Linked DNA regions of Caenorhabditis elegans. The protein of the gene in region 4 purifies or fractionates together with the protein of the main gene of each other region. This does not show direct contact. Each region holds a gene or a part of one and is shown on either strand. Other genes may lie near its edges.

The links.
Region 1: the proteins of cmd-1 (region 4) and madf-3 purify together in Caenorhabditis elegans (affinity purification with western blotting; one study listed by BioGRID). This does not show direct contact.
Region 2: the proteins of cmd-1 (region 4) and cmk-1 purify together in Caenorhabditis elegans (affinity purification with western blotting; one study listed by BioGRID). This does not show direct contact.
Region 3: the proteins of cmd-1 (region 4) and tag-342 purify together in Caenorhabditis elegans (affinity purification with western blotting; one study listed by BioGRID). This does not show direct contact.

Annotation. Positions count from the first base shown.
Region 1 is NC_003280.10:4,332,880-4,339,571, forward strand, and holds madf-3 (Alcohol dehydrogenase transcription factor myb/sant-like protein), read left to right. Parts: upstream 1-1,868; 5' UTR 1,869-1,932; intron 1,933-2,796; 5' UTR 2,797-2,827; coding exon 2,828-3,391; intron 3,392-4,193; coding exon 4,194-4,272; intron 4,273-4,834; coding exon 4,835-4,931; intron 4,932-5,346; coding exon 5,347-5,545; 3' UTR 5,546-6,159; downstream 6,160-6,692. Other genes in the region: H20J04.4 (RNA helicase), read left to right, coding at 563-856.
Region 2 is NC_003282.8:1,822,921-1,827,511, forward strand, and holds the start of cmk-1 (Calcium/calmodulin-dependent protein kinase type 1), read left to right. Parts: upstream 1-1,560; 5' UTR 1,561-1,607; coding exon 1,608-1,712; intron 1,713-4,591. UniProt on the Caenorhabditis elegans protein: Calcium/calmodulin-dependent protein kinase that operates in the calcium-triggered CaMKK-CaMK1 signaling cascade which results in transcriptional activation. Transcriptional activation occurs at least in part through phosphorylation of crh-1.
Region 3 is NC_003281.10:9,466,262-9,470,424, forward strand, and holds tag-342 (transcription initiation factor TFIID subunit 13 family protein), read left to right. Parts: upstream 1-1,895; coding exon 1,896-1,974; intron 1,975-2,133; coding exon 2,134-2,305; intron 2,306-2,348; coding exon 2,349-2,532; intron 2,533-2,577; coding exon 2,578-2,666; intron 2,667-2,759; coding exon 2,760-3,029; intron 3,030-3,262; coding exon 3,263-3,416; intron 3,417-3,463; coding exon 3,464-3,562; 3' UTR 3,563-3,638; downstream 3,639-4,163. Other genes in the region: B0464.9 (putative protein phosphatase methylesterase 1), read left to right, coding at 1-34, 84-618, 664-801; baf-1 (Barrier-to-autointegration factor 1), read left to right, coding at 1,208-1,330, 1,386-1,532.
Region 4 is NC_003283.11:1,154,493-1,158,696, reverse strand, and holds cmd-1 (Calmodulin), read right to left. Parts: upstream 2,427-4,204; 5' UTR 2,390-2,426; coding exon 2,356-2,389; intron 2,075-2,355; coding exon 1,836-2,074; intron 1,739-1,835; coding exon 1,591-1,738; intron 1,534-1,590; coding exon 1,505-1,533; 3' UTR 508-1,504; downstream 1-507. Other genes in the region: T21H3.5 (Serpentine Receptor, class H), read left to right, coding at 311-446. UniProt on the Caenorhabditis elegans protein: Calmodulin mediates the control of a large number of enzymes, ion channels and other proteins by Ca(2+). Among the enzymes to be stimulated by the calmodulin-Ca(2+) complex are a number of protein kinases and phosphatases.

The DNA.
Region 1 (6,692 bases), on a different chromosome or scaffold from region 4:
ATGAAGCGCATATTTACCTGAAAAAATATTTTAAAGAAAAATCTTTAAATCTTTAAAAAATTGAATTTTTTTTCTAAAATTTGATTTCAAAAAACATGAGAAACATATAATTTTCGGCAAAAAATAGGGAAAAATTGCCTAAATTTGAAGCTATATTTTTTTTTCGGAAAATCTAGAAAAAAAGCGAAAAAAAAACAAAAATTGCACTTCTTTTGTAATTTTCCAGTGCCATATTTTGGATAAAAAAGGAAAATTTTTAATTTTTTTTTCGAAAAAAGCGAGTTTTTCTGCTAAAAACACGAAAAAGGCGGAAGAAACATTTTTTTTCAAAAAATTTGAATTTCCCGCCAAAATATTGAATTTCCAAACTCCTTCCACTTTCAATGACGCCAAAAAAAAATATTTTCCTCTCATTTTTCACTCTCTAGTTGACTGCGTTTCTCTCTATATTGACGCAAATAATTTTTTTTTCATCATTTTTTCCCCCGTCTCTTTTCATTTCTCTACACAAAAAATCTACTTTTTAATCAATAAATTCCCTTAATTTTCGCATTTTTTTCAGGTCAGCCCAAAACATGTCACCAAATACGTCACCCAAGTGCTTGTGGCGAAGAAAGAAGCCGAGTTGAAGCTGGAAAATCAGAAATTCGGAGAGAAAAAGGAGATTAATCGAAGAAAAGAGCTTCTGATGAGTGGAATGGATGAAGATGAAGCTGATAGGCATTTGGAGGAAATGAGGACTCGAAGAATGACAAATTCCAAGAGAAAGCTGGAGAAAATTAGTGGACAATTGGATAAAAGAGATCGATTTCAGAAGAAATTGGCGGCGAAAAAAGTGAAAAAGGAAGAAAATTGAATTCATTTTAAATATTGTAATTTTTGTTCAGCTTGTGTCGATTTACGCGGCTCGTGTACTCCTCGTGGAGAAGTGCAAAATTTTTACAGTTTTTGCTCAAAATTACAGAAAACTGTTAACAAAATGCAAATTTTTGAACAATTAAAACAATTAAAAGTGGCCAAAAATTACCAAAAATTGCAAATCTCCACTTTTTCAAATTAAAATTACGGTATATTTTTGGCATTTAAAGTTGTGTTTGCGGCAAACGATTTTTTTCCGGCAAATCGGCAAATTTGCCGGAATTGAAAATTTGCGGTAAATCGGCAAACCTGCAACTTGCCGAAAAAACGGAAATTGCCATAGATTTTCGGCAAATTGCGATTTTTTACCTTTTTTTTTTTTGATATTTCAGAATTTAAATTTTAATCGGCAAAACTGTACGCATCCTATGACTATTCCTACATCTAATTTGAAAATTGGCAAATTCTATGAAAATATCTAGAAAACCGACAAAAAAATTTCAAAAAAGCACAGTTTCAAGTTTTTCCGTCTCGTAAAAATTCTTCCAAAAAATTCCTGCAAATTTATGTTCGGTAAATCGGCAGGTCGACAATTCGCCGATTTGCCGATTTTGTCGACAAAGAAATTTGCCGAACAGCAACTGTTAACAAAATGCAAATTTTTAATTTAAAATTAAAATTTTTAAGTTGCCAAAAATCACCAAAAATTGAAAATCTCATTTTTTTTCTGGGATTTAAAGCAAAAAATCATTTTTTTTTAGTGTTAAATTCAAAATTCTAGTACTTTACTTCTCCTCGTGGAGTACACGAGCTTGCGATTTCTGTTGTTTTAGATTTAAATTGTTACTTTTTTTGTTTTGTTTTGTTTTTTTGTTGTTGATTTCTTTTGAAAAAAAATCAATATTTTCTATCACATCTATTTTCTTTTTATTCCCCATAATGGTTTCCTTAAAACCTTCCTCATAATATCTCTAAAAGCCGTCTCAAAAAGCGATTGCTCTAACACTTTCAGCTAATCATGATCTCCAGTGAGCACAACTATCAGCATTTATATCACGAAGAACAATACGATATGTGAGTTTAAAATGATATTTGGATAAATTTAGAAAAATCGAATTTTTGAAAAAAAAAATCAGATTTTTCTCAAAAAAGATCCAATTTATTTTCCGATAAATTGGCGAAAAATCAACAATTTTTTATATATGAAAAAAGAAAATTTTTCTAATTGTAAGTACTTACGAAGTGCTAAAAATAATTTAATCTACTAAATAAAAAAATTAAAAAAAAACTTTTGTTGTCAAAATTTTTTTTTTTCAACAAACAATTTTTTATTTTAAAAAGGTAAAAAATCAGTTTTTGCAAACACTTTTTTTCGAAAAAAAAAAACGTTTTTTACTTTAAAAAAAAGATGTTTCTAAAAACCTTCGAAAAATACCAGATTTTTCGAAAAAATTGCAATTTTTTTAATACGAAAATTTAAAAAAGTTAATTTTCGAAACAAGTCCATTTTTTAATTATATATTCTATCAAAAAAAATTGAATTAAAAAAAAACTTGATCTTCCATTAAAAACACATTTTTTTTCGATAAAAATCTTTAAAAATCTTAAGGTGTTTTTTCTTGAGAAAAAATACTCGATTTTCTTTTTAAAAAAAACTGCGCTTTTTTTGTAAAAAATTTAAAAAAAAATTAATTTCCGACAGAAAAACTATTTTTTAAAATTATATATTCGATAAAAATTCAAAAAATCGCGTTTTCCTTTAAGAACATATTTTTGGATAAAGTTTGATGTTATCAGTTTTTTTTTTCAAATTAGAAAAATCAAAAATTCACTCAAAAAAATCCCAAAAAGCATTTTTCCGAAAAAAAAGTTCGCTTAAAAAAATCAGAAAATTATCTGATTTTTCTAAAAAAAATCATAAATAACCTTTTTTTGCAGGAACTACACAGCGACCCGCTTCGGCGAGGAAATGATCGAACCGACATTCAACCTACGTCTCATCGAAGCCGTCCGTCATAGTCGATGCCTTTTCGACAATACAGACCGACAATACCGTAATACAGAATACAAAAATCGAGTTTGGCAGCGTCTGGTTACTGTACTCGGTTTTGATGGTGATCCGAGAATGTTATCTGCGAGATGGAAGCAATTAAGAGATAAATATGGAAAAGAGAAGAGAAAACAAAAATATGGAAATGAGAAATCATCATGGCAATATTTCAAACATCTTCATTTTCTAGATCCACATATGACAGATCGAGCAGAAATATCACCATCTCGAAAAGAGCCAACTGGAGTTCATGAAAAGATTGCTGAGCCATGTTTTGGAAAAAATCTAATTCTTGAAGTGAGAAGGCATCCGTGTCTTTATGATGTTCGTGATCCAAAATATCGTCATGGAGACTGTCGTACTCAAGCATGGGGAATGATTATTGATAAACTACGATATCCTGGAACAGTTCCGTCGATTTATAAACAATGGAAGAAGCATCGAGATCGATATGTTAGGGAGAAGAGGAGGCTGAGGAATTTGGTAGGCATTTGGAGGCCTCATGAAAAGGAGAACTTATGGAAAATGGGATCTGGCAGGCGGCAGTTGCCGGTTTACCTATTTGCCGGAAATTTTGATTCCCGGCAAAGTGACGATTTGCCGGAAATTCTAATTTTAGGCAATTTGCCGGTTTTCCGGAAATTTTGATTTTTGGCAAATTGCCTATTTGCCGGAAGTTTTCATTTTGGGCATTTTGCCGATATGCCGGAATTTTTAATTTTAGGCAATTTGGCGATTTGCCCGAAATTTTGATTTTTGGAAAATTGCCTATTTGCCGGAAATTTTGATTTTTGGCAAGTTGCCGATTTGGCGATTTGCCGGAAATTTTGATAAACGGCAAATTTGGCGATTTGCCGGAAATTTTGATAAACGGCAAATTTGGCGATTTGCCGGAAATTTTGATATTCGGCAAATTTCCGGTTTGGCGATTTGCCGGAAATTCTAATTTTAGGCAATTTGGCGATTTGCCGGAATATTTTTATTTTCGGGATATTGCCTATTTGGCGATTTGCCGGAAGTTTTAATTTCGGGCAATTTGCTGATTTGCCGGTTTGCCGGAAATTTCGATTTTCGACAAATTCGGCAAGTTGGAAATTTGCCGGAATTGCCGGAAAAAATCGTTTGCCCCTCCCTGCCTGGCACTGCCAACGCACAAAACTCAATTTTTCTTTGAGAAAAAATTGGCACAGTGCCAGAATCCCCTTTCTCAACAGTATCCCGTTTTCGTGGAGCCTCTATTTTTGTTTTAAACAGAAATTTTACAAATTTTTCTTAGCAACTTCAGGGTGATCCGAATGTTCAAGATGTGTCAACTTGGGAGATGTATGATGATATGGCTTGGATAGATCAGCATTTGGATGAACGTACGAGCTTTTTTTCCTGGAAAATTAAAACAAAAAACCTTTAAATCAAACTGATCCTGAATGCCGAAATACCATAAAAGGCCCCCGAAAAAAAAAATCAAAAATCATTAAGTTTGAAAAAAAATCGGTTGATTTTGGTTAATTTTCAATTCTGACTAATCTCCTAATCATTTAAATTGCCGCGCCTTTTTCAGCGCCGCACTCCGTAGATCTGTATCTGCGCGACGTTAATTCTAGTTTTTCCCGTTTTTTCCTCGCAAGTGAAGACAATAGTGCGGATGCAGATCTACGGACAATAGTGTGGATGCAGAGAGATTCAGGATCAGTTTGCGCATTTTGAAGTAAAATCCCTCATTTACTCCTACTCCTCCAGCTTTAAAATCGTTTTTTTTCCTCAATATAAATACGAAAAAAGAGTTTAGTTTTAGAACTCTTGTTTTGACATGTAAAAAATTTCGCACCGCCATATGTGAAATTACGAATTACGCAGTTCCATGTATTATTTTACGTGGCTCCTAAAATCGCCGGAATAAATACTTTAAAAAAAACTAAAATTTTGCAGAGCAACTATCTCGATGTGCTCGAAGTCTGAAACGAGGGGGAAACAATGACGGAGGAAATCAGGATGAAATGTCAGATTATGGAGATTACGATGATGAGTGAGTGAGCTAAAATGAGCAAAAAGTTGATGAAAAAAAAAGAGGAAATTTGACTCTAAAATTGATCAACTTCTAACCAATCAGCGCTCGGCCCCTTCTCTTTTTTGAACCAATCAGCGACGACCTGTGCCGCTGATTGGTTCGGAATTGCGCGGAGTCGGGCGCTGATTGGTCGGAAGCAAATAGTGGCGGTTTTAAGACAATTTTCGGTGATTTCTATTAGATTCTCTAGAAAAATTGAAAAATTTTCAAAAAAAAAAATTCAAAGATTTAGAAAAATGAAATTTTAAAAATTTGGAATTTGCGAAAACTTGATGATTTGGTGCAATTTTTTCCGACAAGTAATCACAGATAATTCCAAAATAATAATTTTATTTTGCCAAAAAAAAAATCAATAAACCCCTGAAATTTCCAGCATAAACTACGTGATGATGGCTGAAAAGCGACCAAACAACGGTGATGTACTTCTCGACGGAGATTCTGCATTCTCTGCATCAATTGTATCGGATCTAAGGACACTTGGAGAAGAAGCACGAATAATTGCAAAGCAGCAGATTATGATACTTTTGGAATCCGCTAAACCTCCGTCTACACCTGCTCCTAATTATTTGTGATTTTTATTGAATTTTCTAGCCGAAATTTTCAATTTTTTGTCCACTTTTTATTACCCAACCTCGAAATTTCTTCGATTTTACCCCAAGCCGGGTCTCGCCACGACCCAAATTGATAAGTTGAAAACTTTTTTTTTGATAAGTTGAAAATTGAAAAAAGTGTGCGCCTTTAAAGAGTACTGTGTTTAACTGTGAATTTTTGTCGAGTTTTTCTCACAATTTGTGAAAATTTATTGTCTTTTTTATCGAAAAACTATGAAAAATTGATGAAAATTCACGAATTTTTGAAGTTACAGTACTCTTTAAAGGCGCACACCTTTACACACGCACTTAACAAAAATTGTCGCTTCGAGACCCCAGGTACTGTAGTCTTGGCGCATTTATTTCCAATTTTTTTGATCTTTATCCCATCAACTGGTCTCATCATATTTTCATATTTGTACAATATTTCTGTATCTGTATTTTTTTTTGTAATTTTTGTGGGCAGTTTCTTAATTTCCATCGCCGTCTTTCCTATCTCAGGTCCTTTTATTTCATGAATAATTGATTTTTATCCTAGAAAATTTGGATTTTTTGTTGTAAATTTACCTCTTTTAAGGTGTTCAAAACCTACTTTTTATCTGTGTTTTTTGAAAAATTTTGAAAAATTTTTTGCGGATGGGTCTCACCGCGAAGTCTGAAAGTTACACTGCAACTTTTTCCTCGCGAGGGACGAGGAAAAGTGGTTTCTAGGCCATGGCCGAGGGGCCGACAAGTTTCAGCGGCCATTTATCTTGCTTTGTTTTCCGCCTGTTTTCTTTCGTTTTTCATCGATTTTTTTCGTTTTTTCTTAATAAAACTGATAAATAAATATTTTTTGCAGATGCTAAAACAATTTCCAATTTCCAAGTGAAAAAATCATGCATTCAGTGGGCAAGCAGCGGTGAAAGTGGTCAATGTAATATGATGGATTACGGGAATACAAAACCTAAACTTTTTCTGAAACATGATACATATGATGCTTAGATGCTGAAATTACCTGATTTTCATAACGAGACCGCTGAAAAAGTTTTGAGGTTTTCAAAATTCAATTTTTTTGTGCGAAAATCTCGACTTTTTCACCAAAAAAGTTGAATTTTGGAAACCTCAAAACTTTCTTAGCGGTCTCGTT
Region 2 (4,591 bases), on a different chromosome or scaffold from region 4:
ACTTCTTGAAATTACAAGTCAAATTGCTCGACTTCCAAAGAAAACTGAGCTCAGTAGGCCTGCCTTTGCCTGCCTACAATGCGACCGACACCTGCCTGCTGGGTTTTATTTTAGTTGAACTTTCAACAATGCGGATACAGGCAGGCAGGCTTGCCTATCCGACTCAAATTTTCGTACCAAACTTTTTTTTTTGAAATCTCTTGATGTACAGGTGGGCGGCAATTACTGTTCGGCAAATTTACTTCCGGCAAATTCGACAAATTGCCGGTTTGCCGAATTCGCCGGAAATTTTTATTTTCGGTACATTGCCGATTTGCCGTTTTCCGGATATCAAATTGCCGAAAGTTTTTGTACGGATTTTTTAAAAGACGGAAACACTTAAAACTGTGCCTGTTTGAAAAGATTTCGCCGTTGATATTTTCATAGAATTTGCTTATTTTCCAAATAAATGTAAGAAACATTCATAGGATGCGTACAATTTTGCCGTTTTTTCGACAAATTCGGCAAATCGGCAAGTTACCGGTTTGCCGAAAATGTGCAATTTTGGCTAATGCCGTGCCGTCTTCATGTGCCCTCTTTTTGGGTTCTCTCACTTTTCAGAGGCGAGAGGTCGGAAAATTGCCGGTTTGCCGATTTGCCGAAAAATACCACTTTCCGTAATTTGACGAATTTGCCGGTTTGCCGGATTTCAACTTGCCAAAAATTTTTAAACGGATTTTTTATAAAACGGAAACACTTAAAGCTGTGTCTTTGTAAAATGTTTTCGTCGTAGATATTTTCATAAAATTTACTGCATTTTCTAAATAGATGTAGGATGCGTAAAATTTTGCCGTTTTCACGACACATTCATTCGGCAATTTGGCAAATTGCTGGTTGGCCAAATATGCCGAAAATTTGCGATTTCGGCAAATCCCGTATTTGCCGCTTGCCGGAAAAATCGTTTGCCACTCACCCCTGGAAGAGAGTCTCTCCATGAGCCGCCCTCGTTCTTAAATTTTCCAAAAATATTTTTACAGGTATTCCAGGGATACTGTTAAAGCTTTTAAAGCTTATCATGTACCCCCTCCCTTTTAGAATCGAACTACGTCTCAAGTACGTCGGCGACTTCATCATCATCGCCTCGGCCATCAAGTACGTCTTCAATGATCTATGATTCATTGAATCAGCTGCTTGCCTTCTCCCCCGTCTTGAAAGTTGAACGGAGTGAGGGGAGAGAAAGACACTTTCTCTCTCTCTCACTGCCTCAGAAAATTGGCAGCATAGGTCTCTCTCTCTCTCGAAAAACTGGGGGGAGATGAAGCTGAAGACGTCGGTTGGCAAGGAGGAGAGAGGGAGCAGAGACGGGGTGGCAAGTAATTGCAATTGGGGGAAGGGAAACACACGAGATGTGTGTGTGTGGATGACGAGATGAAGCACTCGCTTTTAAGAGTCAGATGAGAGATAGAGAAAGAGCACTGGGGGGGAGGGGCGGAGTCTGTTTCTCTGACGTTCTCCATCTCTCTCCAACTCTCTTCGTCTCCAGCCATATTCTAGTTTTTTCCCCCCCCCCCCCCCCCTTTTGCTCCTTTTCCTTTTTCTTACTCAACGGCTCCCCCTCGACGAGCCCAATGCCCCTTTTTAAGCGACGGGATGGGAGTGGTCCCGCGCCGAACGCCACGATTCGGGAGAAATATGATTTTCGTGATGTCCTTGGGACGGGAGCTTTTTCGAAGGTTAGTTGGTATCGAAACTAGCAATTTTTTTGGGCTTAGCGGTAATTCTTAAAGAAGGGAGCGTTTAAGAAAAAAAAAGAAAAAATACCGACATTTTTTGAGAAGTTTTCTTAGATTTTCTGGGTTTCTTACCACACTAAAAATTCTGGTTAATTATTATATTATGGGTAGTTTTAATGGTTAGCTATTTGTGCTTTAGTGTGTTTAGAGCAGATAATTATGAAGACGGGCAATTTTAATGGTCTTACAAAAACAATAGAAAAAAATGTTTAACGTGGCGAATTTCGATTTTTTTTTTCAAAAAATTCAGAGACAGAGCCTCGATGCACCATGTTTTATGACGACCTTGTGACGTGGGCAGGAAACTCATAATTTATCCGATTGCCGTGGGAAGATGAAAACCCGCTTTACAGAAACACAAATTTCTAGAAATTCAGAGACAAAGCCCCGATGCACCAGGTTTTTTAAAGACCCTAGGTCGTGGCCGTGGAGTGATATTGGTGGCCGAGTTTTCTCCCTGAAAACTTTGGTAAATTCCTCATGGTCATGATCGAGAATATAGAAAACTCGGCCACCTTTCGAATGAAACTTTCCGAAAATTCCGAGCAACTCTCGATGCACCATGTTTTTTGATGGCTGTGAAAAACTTCTTTTTTTTTTGAATTCTAAAAATTCTCAAAAATTATCAAAATGCTTCCGCCGAAATTTAAAAATTTCTTTTTTTTTCTAATCGATACTTTGGCAAACCGAAAATTATTGAATTCACAAAATTTTCGAGAAAAATCTCGAGCAAACTATTTTCCTCTCCCAGCTCATAAAAATCTGAGAATGTCATCTCTGAAAAAAAAATTAAATTCTGTGAAATTTTAAAATTCTGAGAATTCCAGCAACTGCTCTTTAGTAATTTTCGAGTTTTGAAAATGTCAAGTATTCAGGGTTTTTTGGCAATTGTCAAGTTGCAGAAAATTCCGCATTTTCAGCACTTGTCTAGTTTCAAAATGTTCAAAAATTCGACATTTTCGACAATTGCAGAATTGGCTAAAATTCGAATTGCCACGAATTTTTATGCACTGACCTAATTGAAGACTCCTTTTTTTTCATATGAACTAGGTTGCTTTAAAAAGCTCATGCCACGTGGAAAAGCTAATGCGTCATGATTTCTAATTTAAATTTTTTTCTGTAAACCGAGAGCCCCTATATTTCTCTTTTTTTCTTCTTCATCTCCCCCCAATGCATATGGATTTTCTCTGTCTCCAGCCGCGCCGCCGCTCAATTTCAGGGGCACCCTGACTTTATCCCCCCCCCCCCCCCCCACTCTCCGAATCGGAAGCGGTGCCCGGGCAAAGAAACGAGACGCGAGAGCAACGGAGTGAGATAGAAATAGAATTTCTGAATTAAACGAGTGTATGTGTGTGTGTGTGTGGTGGACATTGAAGAGAGCACCCATTTTGTTGAAGAGAGATAGACCGATTGATGAGCTTATCCCCATCAGGTCCATCCACACACGTATTACAACACCATACGAACATGCTTTGGAAAAAAATTTGATGGCCTTGGATATTACCCCCCGACCGAATTCAATTTCGTTTTTTTTTCAGGAAAAGTCCAGCACGTAGAATTTCTATTTTCGAGGTAAACCTGGTTAGGCTTCCTTTTATAGAAAATCCCAGAAAAGAGGGGGTCTAGACATTGTCACTACGACTACATTGGAGACGGGTCTAGCTTGAGAGGCTGTGTCCAAAGTCTAAGCCTCAGACTTAGCATGAGCATAAGCCCAACCCCAAGCCCAAGGCCAGGCCCAAGTCTAAGCCTAAACTTCAGACTTAAGCTTCTTGGTGGCCTATACGACTCCCTGTTAAATTTCGCTTTGATCGGCCAACGGGAACCCTTTAAAAAATGAAAAAAACGCTATAAACCCAAGCCTAAATAGCGTCAGTGGCGAGCGTTAGCTGCCAAGCCTAAGCCTAAGGCTAAGACTAAGCCTAAGCCTAAGACCAAGCCTAAGCCTAAGCCTGAGACTAAGCCTAAGCCTAAGCCTAAGCCCCACTGCCCTAAGTGAATTGCTAAAATAATTAAACTACCAGTAACGCCTCATAACTCTTGACTTTTGACCCATTTTTGCTTCCAATTATGCCCCTTTTCCAAAAAAAAACCTTCTCCCCATACTATCTAATTATCTCATGCTCCGTTGTGCTCAACGAAGCTTGTGTTGTTGTTGCACACACACACACACACACACACATATACACCCCTTGTCATTCATATAACACGCAATCTTGCCCTCTCCTTCCTCATGACCTAAGACAGGGGAGAAAGGAAATTAAATTATAGTGCTGCTCGCGGAGCCGCGCGGGGACTGAAAAAGCATAAGAGGTGTCATTGATGGCGTCATGAAAATGACACAAGTGGTGGTTTTGTTTCATTTTGATGACGTTTCATCGTGCAAATATTGTAGAGAATATTGTTTTTGCGCTGGAAACATGGTGCATCGAGGGTGTAAAAACAAGGAGCCTTATTTTTTTCTAATTTTCTGTCATAAAATCAATGTTTTATTGAGGTCAGTTGAATGTTGAAAAAAAAATCGGTGGATGCACCATATCTCTGGAGGCACGCTCCATGTTGCCAAACCTTAATTTCAGTCAAAATTCTAGAATTTTTCCAAATTTCTTAGCTCTTCTAAACAGTCTGGCAAATCAATTTTCTATTAAAAACCAGCTTTTATTCTATTTTTCATCCTCTAAACCATTCTGACAGCCGCCGCTGAGCCGCCGCGCCCGTCTAGTGACGTACAGATCCCACTTTCTTATGCAACAATAATGTGAAGCTCGCGCGCAGAGCCCCTTTCTCCTTCATTTCCAATTTCTTCAAGACCGCAGGTC
Region 3 (4,163 bases), on a different chromosome or scaffold from region 4:
ATGAGCACGATCTTTCGAAAGAAACCCAAATAAAGTGAGGTTTCGCTTTGATAAGTTTTGTAACTTCTATCGACATATTGTAGAGATATTGGAGCAATCTTCAAGAACATTTTCGGCGAAGACGATTCACCAGTATGCATTGTTGGACACAGTATGGGTGGTGCATTGGCCATTCATACATTGAATGCAAAGATGATTTCTTCAAAAGTCGCTGCACTCATTGTCATTGATGTTGTCGAAGGTTCCGCTATGGAAGCACTTGGAGGAATGGTTCATTTTTTACATTCAAGGCCTTCTTCATTTCCTTCTATCGAAAAAGCCATTCACTGGTGCCTTTCTTCGGGTACAGCGAGGAATCCCACAGCTGCACGGGTCTCAATGCCGTCTCAAATTAGAGAAGTATCGGAACACGAGTACACTTGGCGAATTGATTTAACAACAACAGAACAGTACTGGAAAGGATGGTTTGAAGGATTATCCAAAGAATTTTTGGGATGTTCCGTTCCGAAGATGCTTGTTCTAGCGGGCGTTGATCGGCTGGACAGGGATCTCACAATTGGTCAAATGCAGGGAAAGTTTCAGACTTGTGTGTTACCAAAAGTTGGACATTGTGTTCAGGTAAATGTTATACTCAATTAATAATTTATATAAATTGTCTTGCAGGAAGATAGCCCACAAAATCTTGCAGATGAAGTCGGAAGATTCGCTTGCCGCCATAGAATTGCCCAACCGAAATTCTCAGCCCTTGCATCACCACCAGATCCAGCGATTCTCGAATACAGAAAACGTCATCACCAATAATTGCTCATTTTGTTTTCCAATATTTTCACAACATTTCTATACAAGTTAAGAAAAAAATATTTTATATGAAAAGATTATCGATTAAATTTCCCGTCTTTTTAGTTCTTGGGAATAATAAATGTCAGCGACATACGAATGAATCGATTATTTTAGAGGAGAGGCAGATGCCAAAAAATTACAGTCAAAAAGAAGTATTCGTGAAAGAGTGCGCAAATCGAGAGACGCAGACAGAATGCAAACGCGCTCCGCTGAACTGTGGCCGCCAAGCGTTTCGTTTAAAAGGGAGCGTTGTCTATTTTCCTATCTATTCTTGCCAGTTTTATTTTATTTCGCAACTATCTTTTTACTACGATTTTCGAAAATATTTTCAAATTCAAGAATGTAATTATTTTGTGTTTCAGAAACCATGTCGACTTCTGTTAAGCATCGTGAGTTCGTCGGAGAGCCAATGGGCGACAAAGAAGTCACATGCATCGCCGGGATCGGGCCAACATATGGCACCAAGCTCACCGATGCAGGCTTCGATAAAGTATGTAGATTTTTTTTTCTCAAATTTTCGATCAATGTTAAAATTTGAATTTCAGGCCTACGTACTGTTCGGACAGTATCTCCTTCTGAAGAAAGACGAGGATTTGTTTATCGAATGGCTGAAAGAGACGGCTGGAGTGACTGCAAATCACGCGAAGACGGCGTTCAATTGTTTGAACGAGTGGGCAGATCAGTTCATGTAAACTGCTCAATATTTCTGCTAAGCATCGATTTGATTCTCCTCTATAATCATCAATGGCCATATTTGCACTTCGAAAAACACCATTTGTTCCAGTGTAGTCGTTTTCCGCTTTGCGACTATGCCCCATTTCAAATTAATCTGTTTCTGAAATATTTCTCATACTTCCAAGTTTTCCCCCTTGTCGTGTGGTCTTGGACTACGGTTCTTGTTTTGTTTTTGACTTTAATTTTGCGATTTTTCTCCCTCCAAATAAAATATTTTCTACGATCCTGAAGAGTGTTTCTAAGTTTTTTATTACGAAAGTTGTCGTTCGAAAGTTTACTTGGAATAAAAACAATATTTTCTATTCTATGGTGATTTCCAGATGCCTCCGAAAAGGGCTGTGAAAAAGAAGGTACAGACCACAGAAAAAGCTCGCCCAACATTGGATCAGGAGATAAAATGTGAGCATTTTTACACGGGTTGGCGGCAATTCGACAATTATCGAAGTTAAAAATTAATTTTTTTTTTCAAAAAATATACTGAAAAATACATTTTCAAATGTGTGTTTCCAAAAAAGTTTCGGATTTGTTACAATATTCACACGGAATTTATTTTTTCAGTAGATGACTCAAATGAGCTTGAACCATCGATTCGAAGTGTTGTGACGAGTTTGATGTTCACTTCGGGAGACGACGAAAATCCACTTTCTGAAAATGAAGATTTCGTTGTGAATATACTGAAAAACGAGTTGGTTCTCTTTATTAACGATGTTATAGAGGTTTATGATAATAAGTAAGCAGATTTTTTTTTTCCGAAATAATTCAAACATTTACAGAATTCCAAATGTGAAGCTACAACATATGCTTCAACTTCTCAACAGTCAAAAAGGAGTACTTTCTCGTTTTATTAAATATCTCAAGAATCGTGTGGAAATGTCGGCATTCATGAGAGCGAAATCATTTTCTAAAAACGGAACTGAAAATATTTGTGGACAAGAAGTAGAGAATGAAGATGAAACGGTCTGTAAAACTGAAAAAAATTAAATTTAGAATAATTACTTTCAGACTGATGAAAAGATAGAAGAGGGAGTTGATCCAATGGATGAAATTGGTGAAGTTGGTGGAGAAGAGGGAGAATATTTGAAAAATAAGAGGTTATTACTATTACTGTCTTAATTTGTATTTTTGGGGGCAAAAAATCGAATTTTTGCGTCTGAAAATATTAGAAAATTTTTGAAATATTACAGGAGAACGTACGGTACAATTACATCCGAGGAAAACCTGCTTCAAGAAGCTCAAAAGTCGTTTTTCGATGCTGGATTAGATTTCAATACATTCGAAAATGATGTGGATGAGAATCACAATCAACAATTAATAGTTCTTCAAACAATTCTCGAAGATATGAACGCTGATGAATACAGTCGATTCGCACTTGCTCGACGTGTCAGTTTCCAGAATCAATCAGCAGTTCCTGTGGTTTATAGTGACACATTTTCAAAGTCAAATGCAAGAAAAAGGTAATAATATTACACAATGCGAAATTTTGCGGTATCCGGTCCCGAAGCGACCGGTTTTCTTAAATTCTATAGAGCTTGCACCTTTAAGGGGTACTGTAGAGCTAACTTTTAAGTATTTCAAAACTTTTTTTTCTCAATGAACTTCAGGGGAAATGAAAGCCTCTCAAAAATTAAAGAAAATCGCGCTTTTTTTTTTGAAGGTAAACATTTACTAACATTTTTCCTAATTTCAGAAAACGATCGCCTCCAACAAACAATCGTCAACTTCTGCTCCAATGGCTTGGAAATCCACCAGTTCACGACGAATCCGCTCAAGTTTTTCTCGCATTTCTCGCCAAAGATATTATCTCGGAGATCGTTGGAAATGCCCTTCTGGAGCGACGAAAAGTGAGTTCAAGCTCACTAATTGTTCATATTTATCTCCATATTTTCAGATGAATCCCGCAGAAGGAGGTCCACTGAGCTACTCTTATTACGAGGAACCTTTGCGCAGAAACAGAAAATTCCGAAAATACGGCAGGATTTTGATTTAAATTTTAATGGCTTTATAATACTAAAAGATCTCATTATTTGTGTCAGTTTTTTTCAATTTTATAAATAATTGGTAACAAATATCTGAAAAAAAAAACTAGAGAATTTAAGCATTTATCATTTTAAACAAATTCAAATGTGATAACGATAACACGTAAACTGCGATACACGAGATCAATAGCCGGTGTGTTTTGGGTGTGGGTGGATGTGAAAAAAATATTCAAACGGGGATTTTTGTGTCATTTCCTATAGAAAGATAAAAAAGGATACTACTAGAAAAATGTGTTAGTTTTTTGGAAAAATTGAAAATACATTTTCGAGAAACATGCAATAAAGACTATAGATACAATGTTTGAAAAAATGCGAATAAGCCTAGAAAGACACGTCCTAAAAACGGAGTATCAACAAACGAATGGGGGTGCACCTATATTGAGCGTTTTCATGTCAGCGAGAGATCTCAAGCGGCATAAGACTCAAGAGATTCACTAACTTTTTTCGTTTTTTTCAGAAATAAACGAACCGGAAGGGAAAAGTATCACAACATAAAGGAGAAATGAGCAAATTAGTAAGAGAAAGATTGGCGAGAGAAATGAAAAAAAGAGT
Region 4 (4,204 bases):
TTATTTATTGCTAAAATATTGAAATTTATCAAATAATGCAAAAAAAACTGTCACTACTATTCGAAAATAAATTCATTTCGAAAATCGAGCCCGTAAATCGACACAGTAGTAACAGTAGTAACAGTAGTAATTTAAGGGGTTACTGTAGACTTCGCTGCGAGATATTCTGCGCGTCAAATATGTTGTGCGATACGCAGTAGCAGTGTTTTGTGGTCCTTTAATATTGAATCATCATGTTTGCCGTCAATACCTAACGAGACCCAACGTTTGGGGGTGGAGCCTGCCGCTTTTCAACTTTTTCAATTTTCAGACGACAACTCGGCTTCATTATAATCGATTTTTTCCGGCAAAAAAATGTGAACCTTTCCGTCTTTGTCGTCGATAATCAGCAGCAAGCCGATCAACTTCAAATGTCCACCGTCGGAGCACCTATTTCGATGATGTGAGAAGTTTTTTTTCAAAAAAATAAAATTGTTCTTTTTAATTTTTAAATTGACTTTTTGATTGAAAAACCCCAAAGCATTCAAAAAAAATCAAGTTTCATTTGAAGATTTTCTTTTTTTTTTGTTGAATAAGTTCGCATCAAGGGACGAGAGAAGCGAGATAATCAGAGATAAAAATTTGAATTGTTCAGAGATTATAGAGACGGTGGTGGTGGTGGGTTGGTTGGGAAGAATGGAATTAAATTATTAAAGGATTTTGGAGACTTTGACTTTTACAATAATATAAAATAGGAATTTTCAAAGAAAAAATCCAAAACAAAAAAAAAGAAAGCAATGGTGCAAAAAGTGTTCACTAGGCGCCAAAATTTTTTGCCGTTGCTTGTCGAAATCGAAATTCAAAGCAACAGAAAATATTTCAGGTACAATTTTAAAATGGCCCGTGTGACGGTGTGTGTGTGGTGCGAAAAGAGGGAATTTTCTACACTTTCTATAAATGGTTGAGGGGGAAAGAGAGAGGAAAGAAAGATTTTCGAGTTTGGAATACATTTTTTGGGAAGAACAATTTGGAAGAAGAGAAAATATGAGAAAAATACCAAGTGGGAAAAGAAGAAGCCAGCGGTTTTTTTTAAGTTTTTTAAATTTTTTTATGGGGTTTTACAGGTTGGAGGCATTATTTTGAGGAAGGGTCAAGCCGGGGCAGGCGACCAAGAACTGGAGGATCCGGGACTTTTTAATTTGGGGGCAGGGGCAGGAGAAGAAGAAACTCAATCATTGTAAAGAGGAAATAAGAAAAAAATGACTTATAAATGAGTTTCACATTCTAAGAAAAAAACAAAATTAGGTTGAGAGCACGTCTGTCAAAAAAGAGGCAAAAAAACTTAAATTTGAACATAAATTACATCATTTATAGCATTTTTTGACTGGGCTTGGCAATTTTTTTTTGGGGCTCGAGAGCGAAATCACAATTTTCAAGCGGGGAAGAATAAAAAAACGAAAGGTGAGAGAAAAGGTGTTGGTGATTCGCAAACGATACGGCGGCTTCAGATCCCGATTGGTGTGATTTACTTGGTTGTCATCATGGTGACGAACTCTGAAATATGGGAAATTTGATGAAATTTCGAAAAAAAAAGGTCTTGTAAGGACTCACCCTCATAATTGACTTGTCCATCTCCGTCGATATCGGCTTCACGGATCATCTCGTCGACCTCTTCGTCCGTTAGCTTCTCTCCCAAGTTGGTCATGACGTGGCGCAGTTCAGCGGCCGAGATGAAGCCATTTCCGTCCTTGTCGAAAACCTGCAAATAGGAAGATTTGAATGAGATTTTCTATACTACATGAGGCTTCTCTATAGTGAATCAAAAATGAATTTATAAATTTCCACAAATCTCTTACTCGGAACGCCTCACGAATCTCCTCCTCACTGTCCGTGTCCTTCATCTTGCGGGCCATCATCGTCAAGAACTCTGGGAAATCGATGGTTCCGTTTCCGTCAGCGTCCACTTCGTTGATCATGTCCTGAAGCTCGGCTTCAGTCGGATTTTGTCCCAAAGACCGCATAACAGTTCCCAATTCCTTGGTGGTGATTGTGCCATCGCCGTCCTTGTCGAACAAACTGAATGCCTCCTTGAACTCTGAAAATTTGGCAAAATTGATTTGGTTTTTTCTCGAATTTTGTAGTTTTTTATACAATTGTTGATAGATTTTTCGCCGCGAGAACCAGCCAACATCTGGAATAAAACACACAAAAATAGTGGCGCTATACATCTGCTGCTACGGCTAATGTTTCATCCATTAAATTTAAATTTCTACGCCGCGCCGCTTGGTTTCTGCTCAATTCGCTTCGAAATGAGAGAGGATTAGATTTCTTCAATCTCCCGGTCCTCCGTCCATCAATCAGAATTTAAAAAAGTACCGGCAATTTGCTCCTCGGTCAGTTGATCGGCCATCTTGCTTTCGCTGTGCAGGGGGTGTTGTTAGAAAACCCTGAAAAATGAAAAAGGATAATTAATTAATTAATTAAAATCAATATAAATTGTTTGAAAGCGAGCGGAACGACGTAAACAATGATGAATACCGGTGGGTGAAACGGTGACGAGAGAGAAAAAATCGGAGAGAATAATCGAAAAAAGAGAGAAAAGAGAGAAAATAGAGAAGAACTAGAGAGAATTTACTGACTGATAAGCCAACGATAGGTACAAATTTTATATTTCGAAATGAAGAGAGAAGGAGACGAAATCAAAGGTTGATTTTGTCGAATTGGAAATATTTAGCGATTTCACTCTCCTCAAAGCCGAATTATTATTAGAGCGCGCTTGCTACGCGCTTTGCGTTTCTGCATCCGCGATGTTTTTGCCTGTCCACTGAAAAAATCAGATTTATTGAATCTTAGGAACAAACCAAAATGACGAAAATCAACTTTTTTCGTCCACTGGTTGAGAAAAAGTTGAAAAAATCAGCGGGATATTTTTTTTTGTTATTTTCTGAATCTATTTTTCTATCGAAAATCGGTTTTAAACCACTTTTGACTCTAAAGTAAGGTCACAAATGGATTAAAATCAATTTTTAATAGGAAAATATTTAGAAAATAAGAAAAATCTCGTTGATTTTTTCAATTTCAAACCTTTTCACAACCAGTAGACGAAAAAAGTTCATTTTAGTCATTTTAATTTCGATGTTCACTGTCTAGCAATAGGTTTGTCCGTGAAATGCTGAAAAAAAAACATCTACTTTCAGTGGAAACACGTGGTGCCAGGCTGGGCTGTCCCATTACGGTTTGATCTACAAAAAATGCGGGAATTTTGCCCAATAAATGTGATGTCAGCACGTTCTTAACAATGCAAAATCAGTTGAGAACTCTGTTGTCTCTTCTCCCGCATTTTTTGTAGATCTTTGTAGATCAAGCCGGAATGAGACACTCTGACACAACGTGTGGAAAGGCAAAACACCGCGGATGCAGAAATGCGAAACGTAGAAAATTATTCGGCTTTGAGGAGAGCGCGTGATTTCTGTCAAAAATCCACCAAAAAAAAACAAATTTCCAGTGGGTAGATCAAAGATCCCCTGCGGATATTCCATTACACATAATAATCGGAAAACTCTGATGGCCGAGACGTCTTGCGGAAGGAAAAGAAATGAAACAACAAAAAAGAGAGAAGATAGGGGTCAGTGTGTGTGCGTGTTCTGGTTATCGAATTATCCCCACAATACTTCAATTTCCTCTTGTTTTGCACGCAAAACGAGAAGTTGAAATTGGGGGATGGGGAGGGGGGGGGGGGGGGGTGTAGCGAAAACGGCCAACGTCTTATTCATCTGCGACGACCACCACCACCACCGCAACAAGAAAAGAACGGAGACGTGTTCGTCAATGAAGAAGTCTGAACACAAAAACTAGTTCTTCCTTCATCTCATCATACGTCCGAAAGAACATCAGCAGACACCGCGTCAACAACAAAAAAAGCCGACCAATTCTCAGCGGAGCGCATTTTCGATATGGAACATTAATACGAAAAAGGGCTGCTGTACAAGGGGATTATATAAGCGCGCGCGCGAAACGGAGCGGCGGTGAAAACTAAAGCATAATCCGACCCGGCGCAAGGGTTTTCAGGTTTTAACCTATAATGGGAAACCAGGAAAAGGGAATAAACAATCAAAAGAGACCTAAGAAATGTTTTTACAGAATGATAAATCACGAGAATATGGAAAAATAGTTGCGAAAACCTATTTGACGAGTTGAAAAATCAATGAATCACATGATTTAGCAA